Schizosaccharomyces pombe: one gene and its partners. The protein of the gene in region 3 interacts with the protein of the main gene of each other region in a pairwise test. Each region holds a gene or a part of one and is shown on either strand. Other genes may lie near its edges.

Evidence for each region.
Region 1: the proteins of shk2 (region 3) and skb1 interact in a two-hybrid assay, tested with the Schizosaccharomyces pombe proteins (one study listed by BioGRID).
Region 2: the proteins of shk2 (region 3) and rga8 interact in a two-hybrid assay, tested with the Schizosaccharomyces pombe proteins (one study listed by BioGRID).

Annotation. Positions count from the first base shown.
Region 1 is NC_003423.3:2,274,899-2,280,270, forward strand, and holds skb1 (protein arginine N-methyltransferase Skb1), read left to right. Parts: upstream 1-2,356; 5' UTR 2,357-2,376; coding exon 2,377-2,566; exon of another isoform or gene 2,567-2,615; coding exon 2,616-4,114; exon of another isoform or gene 4,115-4,160; coding exon 4,161-4,349; 3' UTR 4,350-4,726; downstream 4,727-5,372. Other genes in the region: SPOM_SPBC16H5.12C (uncharacterized protein), read left to right, coding at 1-1,809; ATP-dependent RNA helicase Prp43, read left to right, coding at 4,865-5,372. UniProt on the Schizosaccharomyces pombe protein: S-adenosyl-L-methionine-dependent protein-arginine N-methyltransferase that can catalyze both the mono- and symmetric (type II) dimethylation of the guanidino nitrogens of arginine residues in target proteins.
Region 2 is NC_003424.3:569,741-576,639, forward strand, and holds rga8 (putatiRho-type GTPase-activating protein Rga8), read right to left. Parts: upstream 4,684-6,899; 5' UTR 4,632-4,683; coding exon 4,529-4,631; intron 4,485-4,528; coding exon 2,254-4,484; 3' UTR 2,066-2,253; coding exon of another isoform or gene 1,145-2,065; 3' UTR 1,013-1,144; downstream 1-1,012. Other genes in the region: mrf1 (peptide chain release factor), read left to right, coding at 496-666, 809-907, 1,145-2,065; erg11 (sterol 14-demethylase), read right to left, coding at 5,395-6,882. UniProt on the Schizosaccharomyces pombe protein: Acts in signal transduction. Negatively regulates the pak1/shk1 control pathway.
Region 3 is NC_003424.3:270,752-275,749, forward strand, and holds shk2 (PAK-like kinase Shk2), read left to right. Parts: upstream 1-2,400; coding exon 2,401-4,170; downstream 4,171-4,998. Other genes in the region: fal1 (ATP-dependent RNA helicase), read right to left, coding at 269-1,365, 1,419-1,439, 1,506-1,572; plasma membrane stretch-activated calcium ion channel Yam8, read left to right, coding at 4,338-4,998. UniProt on the Schizosaccharomyces pombe protein: Forms an activated complex with GTP-bound Ras-like cdc42. Participates in Ras-dependent morphological control and mating response pathways.

The DNA of each region.
Region 1 (5,372 bases), on a different chromosome or scaffold from region 3:
CCCGATTGCCTGCTTTCAGAATTACCTCAATTTTTGTCACAAGAGAAGAAATTCTCAGTCCCTGTATATGTAGTATGGGGAGCTTGCGAAGATGTGCACGTTTTGGAAAAATTTCGTTCTGGAGAATATTCTATTCCAAACCTTAACATAGTGGACGAACTTCATTCCTACCTATTGCAAATTGGAGATATGAAAATCCGTTTACTTGGTCTTGGAGGTCCTTATGTCCCTTTTAAGCTTTTTGACAATGGAGACGGTAAAGGAACTATTGCTGGTGGCCAGGGTACTATGTGGACTACAATCCTTCAAATGGGTGAACTAATAGAAACCGCTAAGAGCCTGCTTGACAGAGAGGAGGCACGTATTTTTATTACGCATCATCCCATTGGAAGAGAAGGTGTTCTTTCTCAATTAGCTACTGCTTGCCAGGCTGACCTGACTTTATCCGCCGGTCTTCATTTTCGTTATGGAGCTAGCTACAATGAGTTTTGCGTAAATCATAGTCCTGAACATTATCTTCAAAAACTTTCGGCTGCCCGTGCACAGTTTATGGAAGTGTATGACACTGTTAAGGCTGAGGTTGAGAAGATGGTTACCCCTGAACAACATCATCTAATAAACAATGTTGTTCGCCTAGTCTCTCGCATGCCCGATGCAACTAACTCATATGCTATGAATAACATGCTTCCCGGCACTGCTTTTAAAAACCTATGGAACTTCAATTTATTAGATGCTTCCTTTGGATGGACTGTTTTTGTCGTCGAAAATGGGCATGTTCAAGTGGAAAGCAAATCTCATGGCTTTAATTTAGGCTATCGTCGCATGGCTTCACGTCGTAACGAAAATTATGCATCTCACATTCCACGCTCAACTTCGGAAAATACCGGTACCTATTATTACGCTAACAATAGGTTGGTGGAATCTCAAGCACAGTTTACCAAGAACAGAGAAGCTACGGCTACACCAACCGAAGAAGAACAGATTGAAGGGTACGATCAGGAACATACTGATGAGCTAGGAATGTCAAGAGCGAATACTACAGAAGAGTCGGCTGAGACTCATGAAGTAATCGAAGAGAAGTCGGGACCACCTGCTGCCGAGGAAGAACCCATTTCTGGCGTAGCAGAGAAGCCTAGTCCTAATGAAGAAGAACAACCAGCAATTGGAGGGAAAGAGGAAGTTGACGTTGAAGAGGTGACTAAGGGTACTGGAAATCTCGAGCTAGGTGAGACGACTACAGAGGTTACCATACTTGAACAAGAGAATGCTGCAAATGTTACAAGATCTCAAGCACAAGAAGGTAGAAGAACTGATATGCAGAAGGGCAACGATCGTGAATTCCGTCAATATAGTGGTGAGCAGCGTTATGAACGTTGTGGATTTCATATTACCCCTTGCAATTCTGAAGAGGAAGCCCGTTCTTACTTTAAGGACGGGACAGACAGCCTGATTACGAATATTCAAATTCGTACTTCACTCAATCGTTACAAAAGTCCCCAAGCTCCTCAAAACGTAAACCCCACTAACTATGCATATGTATTTGTTGAAAACCAGAATGCTGTTTCAAAGGCCCTTGGAAGCATCAAAGTTCCAGAAGGTGTGCGGGTGAATATCATGCGTGATGATTCGTACTATCGTCAAAATAGAGGATGGTATCGAAATAACCGGATGGAGGGACATGGAACTGGAATGCGTACCAATCGTGGACGTGGACGAGGCGGCCGAATGAACAGAATGCAGCATCCTCGTCCATTACAAAGCGGTGGAAGTGTCAATAAACAAAGCGCTGAACCTACTACCCATGGTTAATGATGAATATTTTTTGCACTGTTTTCAATGCTGTTTTAGAACTGATTTTTATACCATCTTTTCACCTTTTTACTGATGTTAATGCAAAAGTTTACCTCATGAATGATGAAGTTTTCATGAAATTTATCTGACGCACTCATTTACCTCAATAACTGCGAAGCCAAAATAACTGATATGACTCTTTTAAGATATCTTTTTCGAATTCGGTTGTCATTGACAAAAGGGTGCTTACTTTACTTTCTTTCATATCGACTTTGTTTAGAAATAATAAAGTGATTTTTGACAAGATTGATTCGCAGAAAACTATATAGTAAAAATAATTAATTACTTTATGCTAGAATAGCAGTTATTAGCCTTTTCTTCTTAGAAAAGATGTAAGTTTTAATAGATCAAATTCATTAATTAAATAACCAAGTTGAAATTTAAAACACTCACAAACAATAAGCTAGCTACTCAACTAAACAATTTTTTTTTGTTTTTGCAACACAAGGTCCCAACCCTTACCGTATGTTATTGCGGGATGGCCGTATTCCACAGTACAGTATTTACCCATTGCCAGTTCCGCCGATGAATTCTAAAACGCCCACTCTAGGAATAGTTTGTTCAGAGGGGACCATTTCCTTGTCTTTGGAAGAGGGTTTTGAGTTTGTTGGAGTTCCGTTAAGTGGTGAAGGTTTAAAGCTACGAGTTGAAGCTCTAGCTCCGTCAGAGCGTTTGCAGGAATTCCTCGACGATGAAGTAGCTTATCACCCTGAGGGTATGTTTCAAATTTGAAAGAAAATTTATATTAACCAATTTTACTATAGAAAATGTGCACAAGGTGGTCGGTTTATCCTCAGCTTGGCTGGAGTTAGATTCTGAAGACACACTAATCGCTGATCGATCAGAAGAAGTGTTATTAAAGGAAGCATCATATGCTTCTTATTGTGGGTTATCTTCAATCATCCTAAATGGTCCAACTTCACCAATGAACGTTATGCGTTATGCGAGAGCTGTATCTTCTGCTTTAAACTCAACAATGAATCTAAAATTCTTGGTACAATTGGCAATCGAAAGTGGTCATGAAGACTATTTTGAGACATGGAAAATGTGGGACACAATTCGCTCAGCATGTGGTTATCACCCTAGATTGAAGGTGGCCTTAGAGCTACCTCCCGCTTGTTCACCCCCAATCGAGCTAGTAAATCGATGGTACGCGGAACCGATAGAGATGATTACTATGTCATGTATGGCTTTCGTTCCTAATCCCAACGGCTATCCAGTACTTGGTCGTAAGTTGAGGGCTATTTATGCTTTATATCTACGTCTCAATCCTCGAATTTTACTTTGGGATAATGACGCACCCGAGAAAATAGGTGATTCCCCCGACTACAGCATATATATGAAGCACCTCTTTGATTCACAGCCTCCAGCTCCACTTGTAGAAGATCTCGCGGATTCTTATAAAGACTATCTGCAAGTTCCTCTTCAACCATTGAGCTACAATTTGGAAAACATTACTTATGAAATATTTGAGCGAGATCCCGTTAAGTACGCCCAGTATGAGCAAGCAATTTTTTCTGCGTTGATGGATAGAGACGAATCTTCTGTCACGCGAATTGCCGTTGTGGGTGCGGGAAGAGGTCCATTAGTCGACTGTGCTTTACGTGCGGCAATTTCTTCATCTAGAACGGTTGATATGATCGCCCTTGAGAAAAATCCTAACGCTTTTTCCATGCTATTGATGAGAAACCGCCAGGATTGGGCTGGCAAAGTTACTCTAGTATTTGGAGATATGAGAACATGGAATCCTGATTATAAAATTGACATCCTTGTTAGTGAACTTTTGGGTAGTATGGGAGACAATGAACTTAGTCCGGAGTGTCTAGATGGTGTACAACATGTGCTTGATGAAGAAACTGGGATATGCATTCCATCTTCTTACATCTCCTATGTTACTCCTATTATGTCTCCTAAGCTATGGTCTGAAGCTCGTAATATGAATGACCCAAATGCTTTTGAAAGACAGTACGTGGTTTTAATGAACTCATTTGACTTTTTGGCTGCAGATGATGAGTTCCGTTTTCAGTCCCTTTGGTCCTTCCATCACCCAAACAAAGATAGTGAGGTTTATACTAAAAACTTGCATAACAAACGTTTTGCTAGTGTTCGTTTTCAGGCCTCTAGTCCTGGAATCCTTCACGGTTTTGCAGGATATTTTGAAGCTACATTATATAAGGATATTTCTCTTTCAATTATGCCAGCAACTATGGAAGCGAAGTCTCCTGACATGTTTTCATGGTTCCCTATTTATATGCCCATTAAGGTAAGTTACTATATTTTACGTTGCACTGTATACTAATATTTCCTAGAAACCCATGTACGTCCCAGAAAACAGCCAATTGGAATTTCACATGTGGCGATTGACGGACGGTATGCGGGTTTGGTTTGAGTGGTGTGCCAATGCCTATCTGGTGTTGCGGAATGGAAGTCAAATCAAGTTGTCTTCTACGGAGGTCCACAACATTTCCGGAAAAGCGTTCTCGTGTAATATGTATTAAAAATTAATAGTCCTTCTTTTACATTATTGTTTATGGTTTAAAACGGGTCTTCAAACCATTTTTTTGGAGTTTTGATTATAAAAATTTTTTGGATTTAGTTAAATCTGAATTTAACAAAAGTCGATTAGTTTTAGGATAGCTGTTACAATCAAGATTTTGCTGAGAAAGAAGGAGTAATGCTCCTATACTTATTGTCTTAAACGATTTGCCAGAATTTTAACTATTGTTCTTAAACATTCCTTTTTACACAATTAATTAACAGGCAAATTCATTCAACTGAAATACCCTGTCATTTGCTTACTATACTAGTTAATTAATTTTCATTAATGTATTATATTAGTCCGAACTTGAAAATTAACAACGCATTGCGTTATGCCACTCAATTTTATATAACGAATGTTAAGATAGATGGTTTGTTGGAAAATTCTTTAACTGCTTGTAGTACGGAGTATGCACTGTGTTCTTCGCCATTTACAGAATTGTGGGAAGGGTTTATATAAGGGCGATTTTCGACTATGGAACCAGCTCAGAAGAAACTAAGGCAAGAGTCAAAGAACCCGTATTTGGCACACTTAAACAATGGTGATGATTCTGAGGAAGTTGTTTCTTCGAAAGGGTTGACGCGACGTGCTACGACTGTTGCACAAGCAGCTAAGGCTGAAGAAGGACCAAACAATTTTTTTAATGATAAACCTTTTAGTCAAAATTATTTTAAGATTTTGGAAACTCGAAGAGAGCTTCCTGTATACCAGCAAAGAGAAGAATTTCTCAAAATTTATCACGAGAATCAAATTATTGTTTTCGTTGGTGAAACTGGTTCTGGTAAAACAACACAAATTCCTCAGTTTGTTCTTTATGATGAATTGCCTCATTTAACAAATACACAAATTGCATGTACTCAACCACGTCGTGTTGCAGCTATGTCCGTTGCAAAACGTGTCGCTGACGAAATGGACGTTGACTTGGGCGAGGAAGTTGGTTACAACATTCGTTTTGAAGACTGTAGTGGACCTAACACTCTGT
Region 2 (6,899 bases), 300 kb from region 3:
TTATTGCACTATGTTAAATACCACTATATTGATTTACGTTTCCACTTTCAAAGTCGTTAATACAGCAAAAAGCTACACAAATGCCCTACATGAGACTTAGATATTTGCGTATTATGCTATTATAAACAATGTGCCTACGTTCCTCAATTCCCTGATTATTATACTATGCAGCATAGTTATTGCTAGCCAAATTAATTATAACTGTATTCGTGGCGACTCTACTCATAAAATAATAGCAAACTCTTTCTAGGTGTATAGATTCGTAAAAAAAATTTACGAGTTAAGAATGCGTACACAAAATTTTACTTTGCTGTGCACTGTCGGATTATAATGCATATCCGACAGAATTTGCAAGGACCTCCTTAAATATCATAAAAGTACTTATCGAAGAAGCACACCAAGGTCAGAAAGGCGGTTTTAACAGGTTAACACTAATTAGTTTTACTGCTAATTCTTTGAGTATGCAGAAATAAAAGAAACTCAAAATACAAGGTGATGCTTCTAACTAAAAAAGTTTTATGGTACTTTAGACATGGAATTGAATATCAAATTCGTAGCATTGCTTGCAAAAAAGGATACTCTGAGCATAACGTTTCAAGAGTACTTATTGAAAAAGCCCGATCGCTTTCTTCAGAGTATCTTCAATTCCATCAAGTAAATAATAAAGTAAGTGTCGGCAAACAAAGTGTGAAATCAGCCTGCTACTGTTCGAGATACAATAATAATGGTAATACAAGCATACCGGACATTAAGCTTTACTCATGAAAAATTAAAATCTGATATAAATGATCTAACTTATATCTTTTAGGATCAATCGGCAATGACAAACGATACAGATTTAGCAAAGCGAATCGCTAGGCTTCGACGCGTTCATAATGCATATTCGAAATTTAAAAGTTTGTCTGAGGTATGATATAAGACGAATTTGTCTCAAACTTGTAGTCAAAAGCTTTCCTTTTTTTTATTACTCTTCCTATTTATAGTAATCGATTTACAATGGTTTTTTTTTGCTAATGGGTCTATAACTTAAGACTTTTGCCAGGCATTTACTGTTTATCTAAGTAAAGCTATTTGATGAGCATGTTGAAATACTTAAATAACTAGTTTTTGAAAACCTTGATTTAAAAAAATTCTAACAATTTAGCAAATAAGCGATTTGAAACAAATGGAGGCCCAAGAGTCAGATGCAGAGGTTAAAATGATGGCAGTGACTGAAATAAACGAAATAAGTAATAAAATACCAAAAAGCATAGAAGATCTTGAAAACACATTACTTCCACAAGCTGATTCATATGCTCTTCCTGCATTAATCGAAATTCGTCCTGGTGTAGGAGGAACAGAGGCCGCAATATTTGCAAATGAACTAGTGGAAATGTATTTTCAGTATGCAAATTTTAAAGGATGGAATTGCAAATTTATATCAAAAAGTGCAGTCCAAGGACTTGAAGCGATAACGGAGGCCATCTTCTCTATTGAAGGTGAGGGAGCTTATGGTCATCTTATGTTGGAAGGAGGTGTTCATAGGGTTCAGAGGACTCCTGCTACCGAAACTAAAGGAAGAGTTCATACGAGTACTGCATCAGTAATCGTTTTACCTCAGGTGTCAAATGATGAATCCTCTTCTCTTTACGATTCATCTGAAGTTAAAATCGAAGTAATGAGATCTCGTGGAGCCGGTGGACAACACGTTAATAGAACAGAATCCGCCGTACGTTTAACACACATACCCACTGGTATCACTGTTAGCATGCAAGATTCTCGTTCTCAGCATCAAAACAAAGAAAAGGCATTTCTTGTACTGAATTCAAGATTGGCTGCCTTAAATGCCGCAAAAGAAAATGAGGCTGAAAGACTGAAACGTAAAAATCAAGTAACGTCTTCAGATCGTTCGGAAAAGCTACGAACTTATAACTTCAACCAAAATCGAGTAACTGATCATCGGATAGGTTTAAGCATGCACGATTTATCAACATTTATGCAAGGTGAAGAAAAATTTGACGAGTTTTTGGAAAAAATAAGAATATGGAATCGTGAACAGTTGCTATTACACTCTGAAATAGTATAGGAATGCTAATTTAGTCTAGTAAAATAGGAAGGTACAATAATATATGGTGGTCAAACTTCTATAGAGAAAAATGTTTATTAGGTATATGCAATGAATAATGAGAAAAGAATGTGCAACATGTCATGCAAATAAGATATCCATAACTGATCTTTAAAAAAGATCATAGGTTAACTCATAATAACATATTTTTAACTACCACTTAAACTGGAATCTCTTGAGGCGACTGCTTCGTTCACTATCTTTGCATCCTGATCAATAAAGATTGCGGCACTTTCATTGGAAGCAGAAGAATGGCTGAAATTACGTCTTGTCTTTCTAGTATTCAAGGCATACGACGATCTGATCAATGAGGTGGGCACATTTTCAAGAGTAAATTCAGATTCAGCGGGAATTTCTGAAGGTTGCAGCTCCTCAAACGAAGATCTTGGAGATTCGACAGCAGTATGAGATCGGACAGAAGAAATGGAGTCTGGTCTAGTTGGTGATACATCTGTACTCCGAGGAGTAGCAGAAGATTGATATAATACACGGTCAGAAACACGTTTGGATGAATTCAATTTTCTGAGTTCTTCAAAAATACTTGGTCCGTAAGTTAAAAGATCCTCCATGAACTTCGTTGGGTGCTTATCATGTTGAATACCCAAATTCCATGTTGCTGGACGGGAAATGCATAAAGATAAGGAGTTAGCTAAATTTATAGTAAAAGTTTCTTTATTTGGAGTAAGCGTAATCAAGCGATTTAGATGAGTAATGATGGCACTCAAAGTAGCAAGATTAACACGTCGAAGTTGGGATAAAAGATTTTGTAAAAGTCTCAACCTGTACGGCGTATCATTACTATGATTCATGTAAATTGAACGAATAAGCTCAAAAGCAGAAGAAGGAACGATGGAATCAGGGAGTTCAAGAAAGTATAGCTTCAAAACTCCTATCACAACGGAGGGAGTATACTGTGATAAAACCTCCTTTGTCACGGATGAAGAATGATTCAACGCTTCTCGAAGTTGATGTACAGAAGACAAGGGAGAATTAACAAGCCATATATTTTGACGAACTTCATCAGAGGCAAGCGTAGGATATAACAGATCTAAATAAGAAAGGATCGTACTAACGATTATGGGAACACGTTTCTTATCTCTATGAGACAAAAACTCAACGTCCACTCCAAAAATCTGATCTTTAATATCATTATAATAATCCTCATATATTTCGACACGAGGTAAAAATGGACCAGTAGCTGCAGACTCTAAAATATACCTAATGTCACTCTCAGGTTGAATTATTTCCTGATAAACAACAATCTGATCAGCCAGCAATTTCATGGAAGGCAAAAAGTTCGAAATAATTGTTGATAAATCCATAAAAAAATCTTTATAATAAAGAACGCGATCGGTTTCACATTTTTGAAGAAATTGCAAATGATCAGCAATAGTTTCTTCCACAAGTGTGCGGCATTTATCAAGATCAACGACTGATTCGCTGTAAATTTTATTTGCATCCAGAACTTCTCTTTTAAGACGTTGAGATTGAGTTTCTGAAGAGTAAAGCTTTCGATGACTTATATAATCAGAAAGATATTCACCAACTAATGGTAAAGCCTTGGCGTTTTCGACAAGACTATCTACACTATTCAGTCCTGCAAACTGGAAAGCCTTGTCTTTCCACTGATAATGGAAGTTGGTACTATTCACAAAACTACCTCCAACGCCCATATGACGCAAAAATCCTTGAGCTATCAAATCTTGTCCAAATGCCTCGGCTGCAACTAAAGTTGGAACAGGAAGATTTTCCTGAAGCCAAGAAACAATAATATTTCCTGAACATGTATTAGGGTAAGTACCTAAGATAGGGACGCGATAATCCTGTAAGGGTATTTCTTGTAATACTTGAGCCAAAACCTCTTTTAACTCCTCAGGCCTAAACTCCATAAAACCAAGTTGAATCAGATCATCATCATTTTCCAACAATGATTGCTGCTGTGGACTAGAAACTGTTGTTAAGTCAGTAATAGCCTCACTAGTAGTTTCATTGGACTCCTTTGATTCTTCTTCATAATCTTCAAGGTTTCTACATTTGTTGTAGTAAGCGCTTTTTGTTTTTTTAAGTGTATAGTATTTCTTTTCATAACTCTTTATTTGATTGGTAAGAACTTGTTGGCTGGTTTGTAACTTCTGAGAATGATCAATAGACATTTTAGAGAAAGGAGCAATAATTAGCGTTTCTAAGTCCTTGGCAATACGAATATGTTGCTTTCCTTGATTAGCAATCTCGGAGCGCAACCCTTCAAAAGCCTTGTTAGAAGTAGCACCGTCTTCTGTATTCTCTGGCTTTTTCCCTTTTAGACATTCTTTCGTTATTTCTTGAAGCTTTTCACCAAATTCCTCATTCGCTTCTTTATATAACTTCAACAAGTTTTTTACTATTCGTTGTTAGAGGAAGTCCTATATTAATTTATTTAAATACCTTGCTCATTCTCTTCAACTCCATTATCCAGGCAATCGAAAAGTTTTTTCACACCAGTCGCGTAGTCTTTACTCCAAAAACCATTTGAAAAGCTCGATATCATTTCAATTCGAGACTGAAACTGTCACAACCTGTCAAGAAATATAGAGGTGGTTGACATGTCTACGCCCTTTATTACTCAACTTAAGTAAATAGCGAATTGCTACGCAGAAAAGTTTTACCCATCAAGGATGCCAAAAGTATCCAGTAAATAAGACAACAGATACGTTACTTGACACACATAAGATAGCATACCACTAATCCTTTATAAAATGTAAACTTCATTCAGTTGAATAGCAGCCTACGCTTTTACCCACTTTGTATTATTAATGCTATGGTTGGATCGATGGTACAATTAAAAACTACAAAATTTTAATTAATAGCTTACTGAGAAACCTTGCGTTTGCACGATGAGGTTTTGAAAAGAGAGAGTAGCGTACTTTATTGTTATAATGCCTACATGAAAACGAAAGAGAGCGTCCCGACGTTATTAAAACTATAATATCGTAAAAATGTATCACTAATGATGACAGGGTAGTTTTCATATCGATTTAGTGCGAGGATAAGGAAGTTTGAAATTGCATAATACATTCTTTTGACATTTGAAATGCTACCAAATAGTCATTTAAAACGCTAAAATATTTACAATTTCATAAAACAATAAAGCACTTAAAATTTAAAATGTCTAGCAAATTTCATGGTTATTCGTTACTCGTCAGATAAAACAAAAACGTTTAACACGGGCATGAAAAGAGAAAGGCGGAACCAAAGTTAGAAACCAATACCATAAGCGTATTGCAAATGCATTCAAATTAGGGGAAATTCCCTTAATTACGACGCTTCCAAGCAATTTTAACAGGACCCAAGGGAAGAGCAACCATACTGGAATAGTCAACGTTGGGAACTTTTCCAATAAGAGTCCAGGTGTAATCGTGTACAAACTTGCTAATAATAGTGCTCAAATGCATGTAGGCAAATTGCTCACCAATGCAACGATGACGACCAGCTCCAAAGGGTAGGTATGGAGAAGCAGCACCCTTTGTAACGAGACCATAACCATAATCAATTTGCTCAGCATTTTCGTCTTCATTGACGCGGTCATTCCAGCGCTTGGGGTCAAAGTCAGTAGCATGAGTGAAGTATTCCTCTTCAGTAGCAGTTAAACCGGGAGCAGCAAGAAGATAGTTGTTGGCAGGGATAACAATCTTTGAACCAGGGACGGGTAAGTCACGTTTGACTTTACGCATATGACTGTGGATAGGGGGATGGAGTCTAAGAGTTTCTTGAATAACATAGTTGAGAAGAGGCATGTCCTTATATTGGTCAAACTTCAATTCCAAGTTTTCACCTACAACACGCTTCTGCTCTTCCCACAACATTTCAATGATTTCAGGTTTGCTACCCAAAAGAGCAAGAACCCAAACGATAGTGGCAGCAGAGGTGTGTTGACCAGCCATCAAAAGTGCAATCATCATACCAGCAATTTCATGTTCCTTCAAAGGACGGCCATCTCTATACTTGCAGCTCATCAAAGTCCAAATCATATCAGTACCAGGATTTTCAGTGCTAGAGCGACGATCTTTAATAATTTTAAGATAAGTTTTTTGCATAATTTTGTGGGCTCTATCACGGCGTCTGTTTCTAGGGAGAGGTAACCAAGGGAAAACAAAGTTAACAGGGCTAAATCCTTGATCAAGGTCATGGTACAAGTCAGCGAAACCAGCGTCAAAGCCCTTGCGAACCTCAGCACCTTGTAAAGTACGAGAAGCAGTGTAAATAGTCATGACAGGCATGGTCTTCAGCAAATCAGCAACGCCTTCCTTACCAGGTCCGAAGTCAGGAGAAGTGCTGAGAAAAGCATCCATTTCGTTAAGAATGAGGGGGACATAAGAGCGGAATTGAGAGAAGCCAAGACCAGATTTGATAAACTTCTTGTGCTCCATAAAAACATGGTTGGGAATATCGTAAACGACATCTTTACCGAATACAGGGGTAGTTAAATGAGAGTAAGCTTCTTCAGCATTCAAATCAGCTAATTTACCGTTAAAGAGGAAATCATTACCTTGGACACCAAGGAAAGCGGTCATTTTACGACCCATGCAAACAAAGGTGAAAACATCACCATATTTGGCACGACACTCGCGAAAAAATACATAAGGGTCCATACCGTATGCGACAGCAGAACCTACAAAGGGTATCCAATGGAAGACAATTGGGGGGCGTTTGCTATTGCGAGAGGTAAGTTGGTTAATAATATAACCAACATACCAAGCCAATGCAATCGATAATAAAATCGAAACTAAAGAGAATGCCATCCTGACTTATGAAAAAA
Region 3 (4,998 bases):
TTGCAAATCAGTTTTGAGGTTTCATCTAATATTGAATTGCTACGAATGCTCAGATTATTTATTATTAGGAGAAAATGCTAATACTTTTCTTTTGCAGGATCTTACAACCAAAAAATTATGATCTAAATGACACCAAAAAAATACGCATAGAAAGTTTTGGGTAACATAAATGGAAATTAATTTAAATATACAGTTATTATTTTAAAGTTTTCCCCCAAATCTGTACAATAATCCAAAAAAAACCAGCTTTTTTTTTCCAATGGAAAATTTAAACCATATCTCCTATATTCATAGGCATTTCATCTATAACAGTAGAATAGTATTGTTCAATATCCCGAAGAATGCGTACATCTTCATTTGTAACAAAATTAATAGCTACACCTTTACGACCAAATCGTCCACTGCGACCAATGCGATGTATATAGTTTTCTCGATTTGCAGGAAGATCGTAATTGATCACTAATGAAACTTGCTGAACATCAATTCCTCTTGCCCATATGTCTGTGCATATGAGAACCCTACTATTTCCTTGTCGAAAATCTTGCATGATAGCGTCTCTTTCTTTTTGCGGCATCTCACCGTGCATACTGGTAACGGTAAAGTTAGCTTCTCGCATTTTCTCCGTCAACCAATCAACCTTCCTACGAGAATTGCAAAATATCACAGCTTGTGTAATGGTTAAAGTATCATATAAATCACACAGAGTATCAAACTTCCATTCCTCTTTTTCAACTGCTATAAAGTACTGTTTTAAGCCTTCAAGAGTAAGTTCATCGCGCTTGACCAATATTCGAACAGGGTTAGTGGTAAACTTGTTAGTCATTTCTAACACGTCTTGAGGCAAGGTAGCACTCACAACTACCACCTGTGTACCAGGGGGTAAATATCTATAAATGTCATAAATTTGTTCCTTAAAGCCTTGATTTAAGAGCTCATCCGCTTCATCAAGAATAAGCATCTTAACATTGCGAGTTCGCAAATTTCGTCTACGAATCATGTCCGTTACGCGCCCAGGAGTGCCAGAAACAACGTGTTGTCCATAATCCAATTTTTTGATGTCATTTCCAACGGATGTGCCGCCTATACAAGCATGACATTGAACGTTCATATGGTCACCCAATGCAAGTACAACATTCTGGATTTGAACTGCCAATTCTCTCGTAGGAGAAAGTATTAAAGCTTGAGTATCTCGGACTGATAAATCGATCGACTGAAGAATACCAATAGAAAAAGTTGCTGTTTTCCCTGTACCAGATTGAGCTTGTGCGATAACGTCTCTCCCTTTACAGATTTGAATAATCGCCCGGCTTTGCACAGCACTCGGAGTCTCATAGCCATACGCATAGATTCCACGAAGTAAATCCTCTGCATGTTGTTAGAACAAAATTATGGAAATTTTTATCAATTCATTAACTAACCTTTAAGATTCATTTCCTCAACTGCAAAACAATGTTAGCATCATTCACAGTAAGTATTCATATTATAAAAAAATATAATTTACTTACAAGAGGATACAGCATTCACATCTTCCGATGTCGTAAGCTCCACGTTCTCCATTATTTCGTCCGCCATAATGGAAGTTGTAGTAGTTATGTTATGTCAGCCCAACTTGAGGAAAATGAAGGAGAGAAAATTTGACAAGCAAATAGAAAGCTTGGTTAGTTACAAAAATAAAAGAATATTCCTTTAAAAAATTTCAATTGTACGGAAAGCTTTATTAAATATTGACAAGAAGTTTAGATGAACTTATTATTCACATGTTGTTTATTTTCAGTACTCCCAACTTGTTAGATAATGGTATAAAAAGTAAACTAGCGGTTTCTTAGAATTAGACATTACACGAAAAAATTATGAGAGTCTTACATTAATTTTCTACAACTGGAGCAATGGTTGAACACCACCCTTAAGAGTCTAAACAACATTTCAATTCGTCCTAGAATTGTTATACTAATTTCCGTTTTAGCAATCTAAGTTCTCCTAGCACTAACATGCAAATTATCGGCTAGTCAAAACCCATTATCAATTAATGTTTCCTAACCAGAATTGCCCACCACTTCGCATAAATTCAGTTATACATTTCCATGCTAAAAATTACCTAAAATCACTCTCAGATATTATAAATGCTATACACAGTTTACATTTGTGAGCGTTGTCATGAATCTTGTAACCAATGTCATGTTCGCTTGCGATAAGATTGCAAATTGCAATTGTAAGACTTAATCTAATTAATTAAGAATTACTTTTCATCCACTACTGTTGACGTCAATTGACTTCTCTTTTCATAACATTTCTTTGTTTTTTGCATTCTCTTTGTTTATAAATGGGGTTTCTTTGTTTATACATTTGAGCTAAAATGTATAAAAGAAGCATGTATACCAAAACTATTGCATCGTTTTCAAAATGCTTTTAAGTGTAAGAGGCGTGCCGGTTGAAATTCCATCTCTCAAAGATACAAAGAAAAGCAAGGGAATCATTCGATCAGGATGGGTTATGCTGAAGGAAGATAAAATGAAGTATCTCCCTTGGACTAAAAAGTGGCTAGTACTTTCTAGCAATTCTCTGTCGATATATAAAGGAAGCAAGTCTGAAAGTGCTCAGGTTACGTTGCTGTTGAAGGATATTCAAAAAGTAGAGCGTTCAAAGTCTAGGACATTCTGCTTTAAATTGAGGTTCAAAAGTAGTACCAAAAATTTTGAGATTCAAGCTTGTGAATTGTCCGTGGCCGATAATATGGAATGTTATGAGTGGATGGATTTAATATCTTCTCGTGCGCTTGCTAGCAAAGTTTCAAGTCCGATGAATCCTAAACACCAAGTGCATGTGGGAATTGATAATGAAGGAAATTATGTCGGATTACCCAAGGAGTGGATATTGCTACTTCAGAGTAGTTCGATTACCAAACAAGAATGCATGGAGGAGCCGAAAGCAGTTATTCAAGCTTTGGATTTTTATAGTAAGCAGTTGGATACAACAAGCGAAACTAAAGATAGTTTTTCATTTTGCAAAGAGACACTGCCACGATCCTCTACTACATCGTATTCTATTCGCGATGCTGACAAACATCATAAACTCACGACATCTGGAGTTACTAAAATGAATATTACTGAAAGATGCAAGCCGAAGACAACCATACAGACGGATAAAAAGCATATCATAAGGCCTTTTATTGAAGACAAAAGTCATGTAGAATCTATCATGACCGGAAAAGTAACCAAAGTACCGGTCAAAGCAGATTCAAAGAACACGTTGAGTAGAAGAATGACTGATAGACAGGCTTTAGCCATGTTAAAAGACTCAGTTACTTCTCATGATCCTGTCGAATATTTTAATGTTAAGCATAAACTTGGCCAGGGTGCATCGGGATCTGTTTACTTAGCCAAAGTCGTCGGAGGAAAACAATTAGGTATTTTTGACTCAGTTGCAATAAAAAGTATTGATTTGCAGTGCCAAACAAGAAAGGAACTAATCTTAAACGAAATCACTGTCATGAGAGAATCGATTCATCCTAACATAGTGACATATTTAGATTCATTTCTTGTTCGAGAAAGGCATTTATGGGTTGTGATGGAGTACATGAACGCTGGATCTTTGACTGATATTATTGAAAAAAGTAAGCTTACAGAAGCACAAATTGCTCGTATTTGTCTAGAAACGTGCAAGGGAATTCAGCATCTGCACGCCAGAAATATTATTCACAGAGATATTAAAAGTGACAATGTTTTACTCGACAACTCTGGAAATATTAAAATTACTGACTTTGGATTTTGTGCTCGATTGTCTAACCGTACTAATAAACGAGTTACGATGGTTGGAACACCATATTGGATGGCCCCTGAAGTAGTAAAGCAAAACGAATATGGGACCAAAGTTGATATATGGAGTCTTGGAATTATGATTATAGAGATGATTGAAAACGAACCGCCTTATCTCAGAGAGGATCCAATTCGTGCATTGTATCTGATAGCAAAAAATGGAACTCCAACTCTTAAAAAACCTAATTTAGTTTCTAAAAACTTAAAATCTTTCTTAAATTCCTGTCTTACAATCGATACCATTTTTAGAGCTACTGCTGCTGAGTTGCTGACACATTCATTTCTTAACCAAGCATGTCCGACTGAAGATCTAAAATCTATCATTTTCTCTCGCAAAGCGAATACCCATATTAATTAGGTCCAAAATTTACTTTTATGATTATTTGAATATTTTTAACGATCCTTAATGATATACAACTTGCTAGTTTTTTAGAAATTTCAATTAACTTCTCAATTTGCATGTGCGAAACTTTTGAGCTTACTTTTGAATATTAAAGCCTTGAAAGTAATTACTAAAGGTTCTATATGTTTTTTTTTAGCACCCATTTAATTTTGAAGATACTCTTTTTCTGGTCGATAACTAGAAACATATTTGGCGCTACTTATACTAGCTTGCTGCTGAACAATACCATAAATGGTAATATAAATGATCAAAGCACTGCTTACTATAACTTAACATGGGAAGGAAACACAGCTTACAACGTTAGTCTAACTTTATCAACCTGCACTGCTTTTGATGGCGCGAACGATTTGATGTTATATATATCGAACAATACGTTTGACGAAGCTCTTCCTTTAGATAATTTTACGATTACTGCTTCTGAAAATGGTCTAGCAACGATATTTGTAACCGGCTACTCACCTTTATATATTGCTGTGTCCAGTGCTTTTTCTCAATTTGCTCCCAATTTTTTTGTCGAGTCAGGTGAATCTACTTTAGAAGGTAATAATGTGATTAATTATGAATTAGCTGCTGGAATTGACACTCCCTTTAGTCAATACAATGCAACTAAATTTCTGTTTGCCCAGGACACCGACTTTCAAGCAGCACTACTCATTACGGGAAATCTCACTACAAATGAGACCTCCATCATCCCTTCTTATGAGATATATGTCAACCCTTCTAACTCCACTTATGATAACACATTTAACAAATTTTCAAGTTCTTTCTGTGCTTTTCAAAACA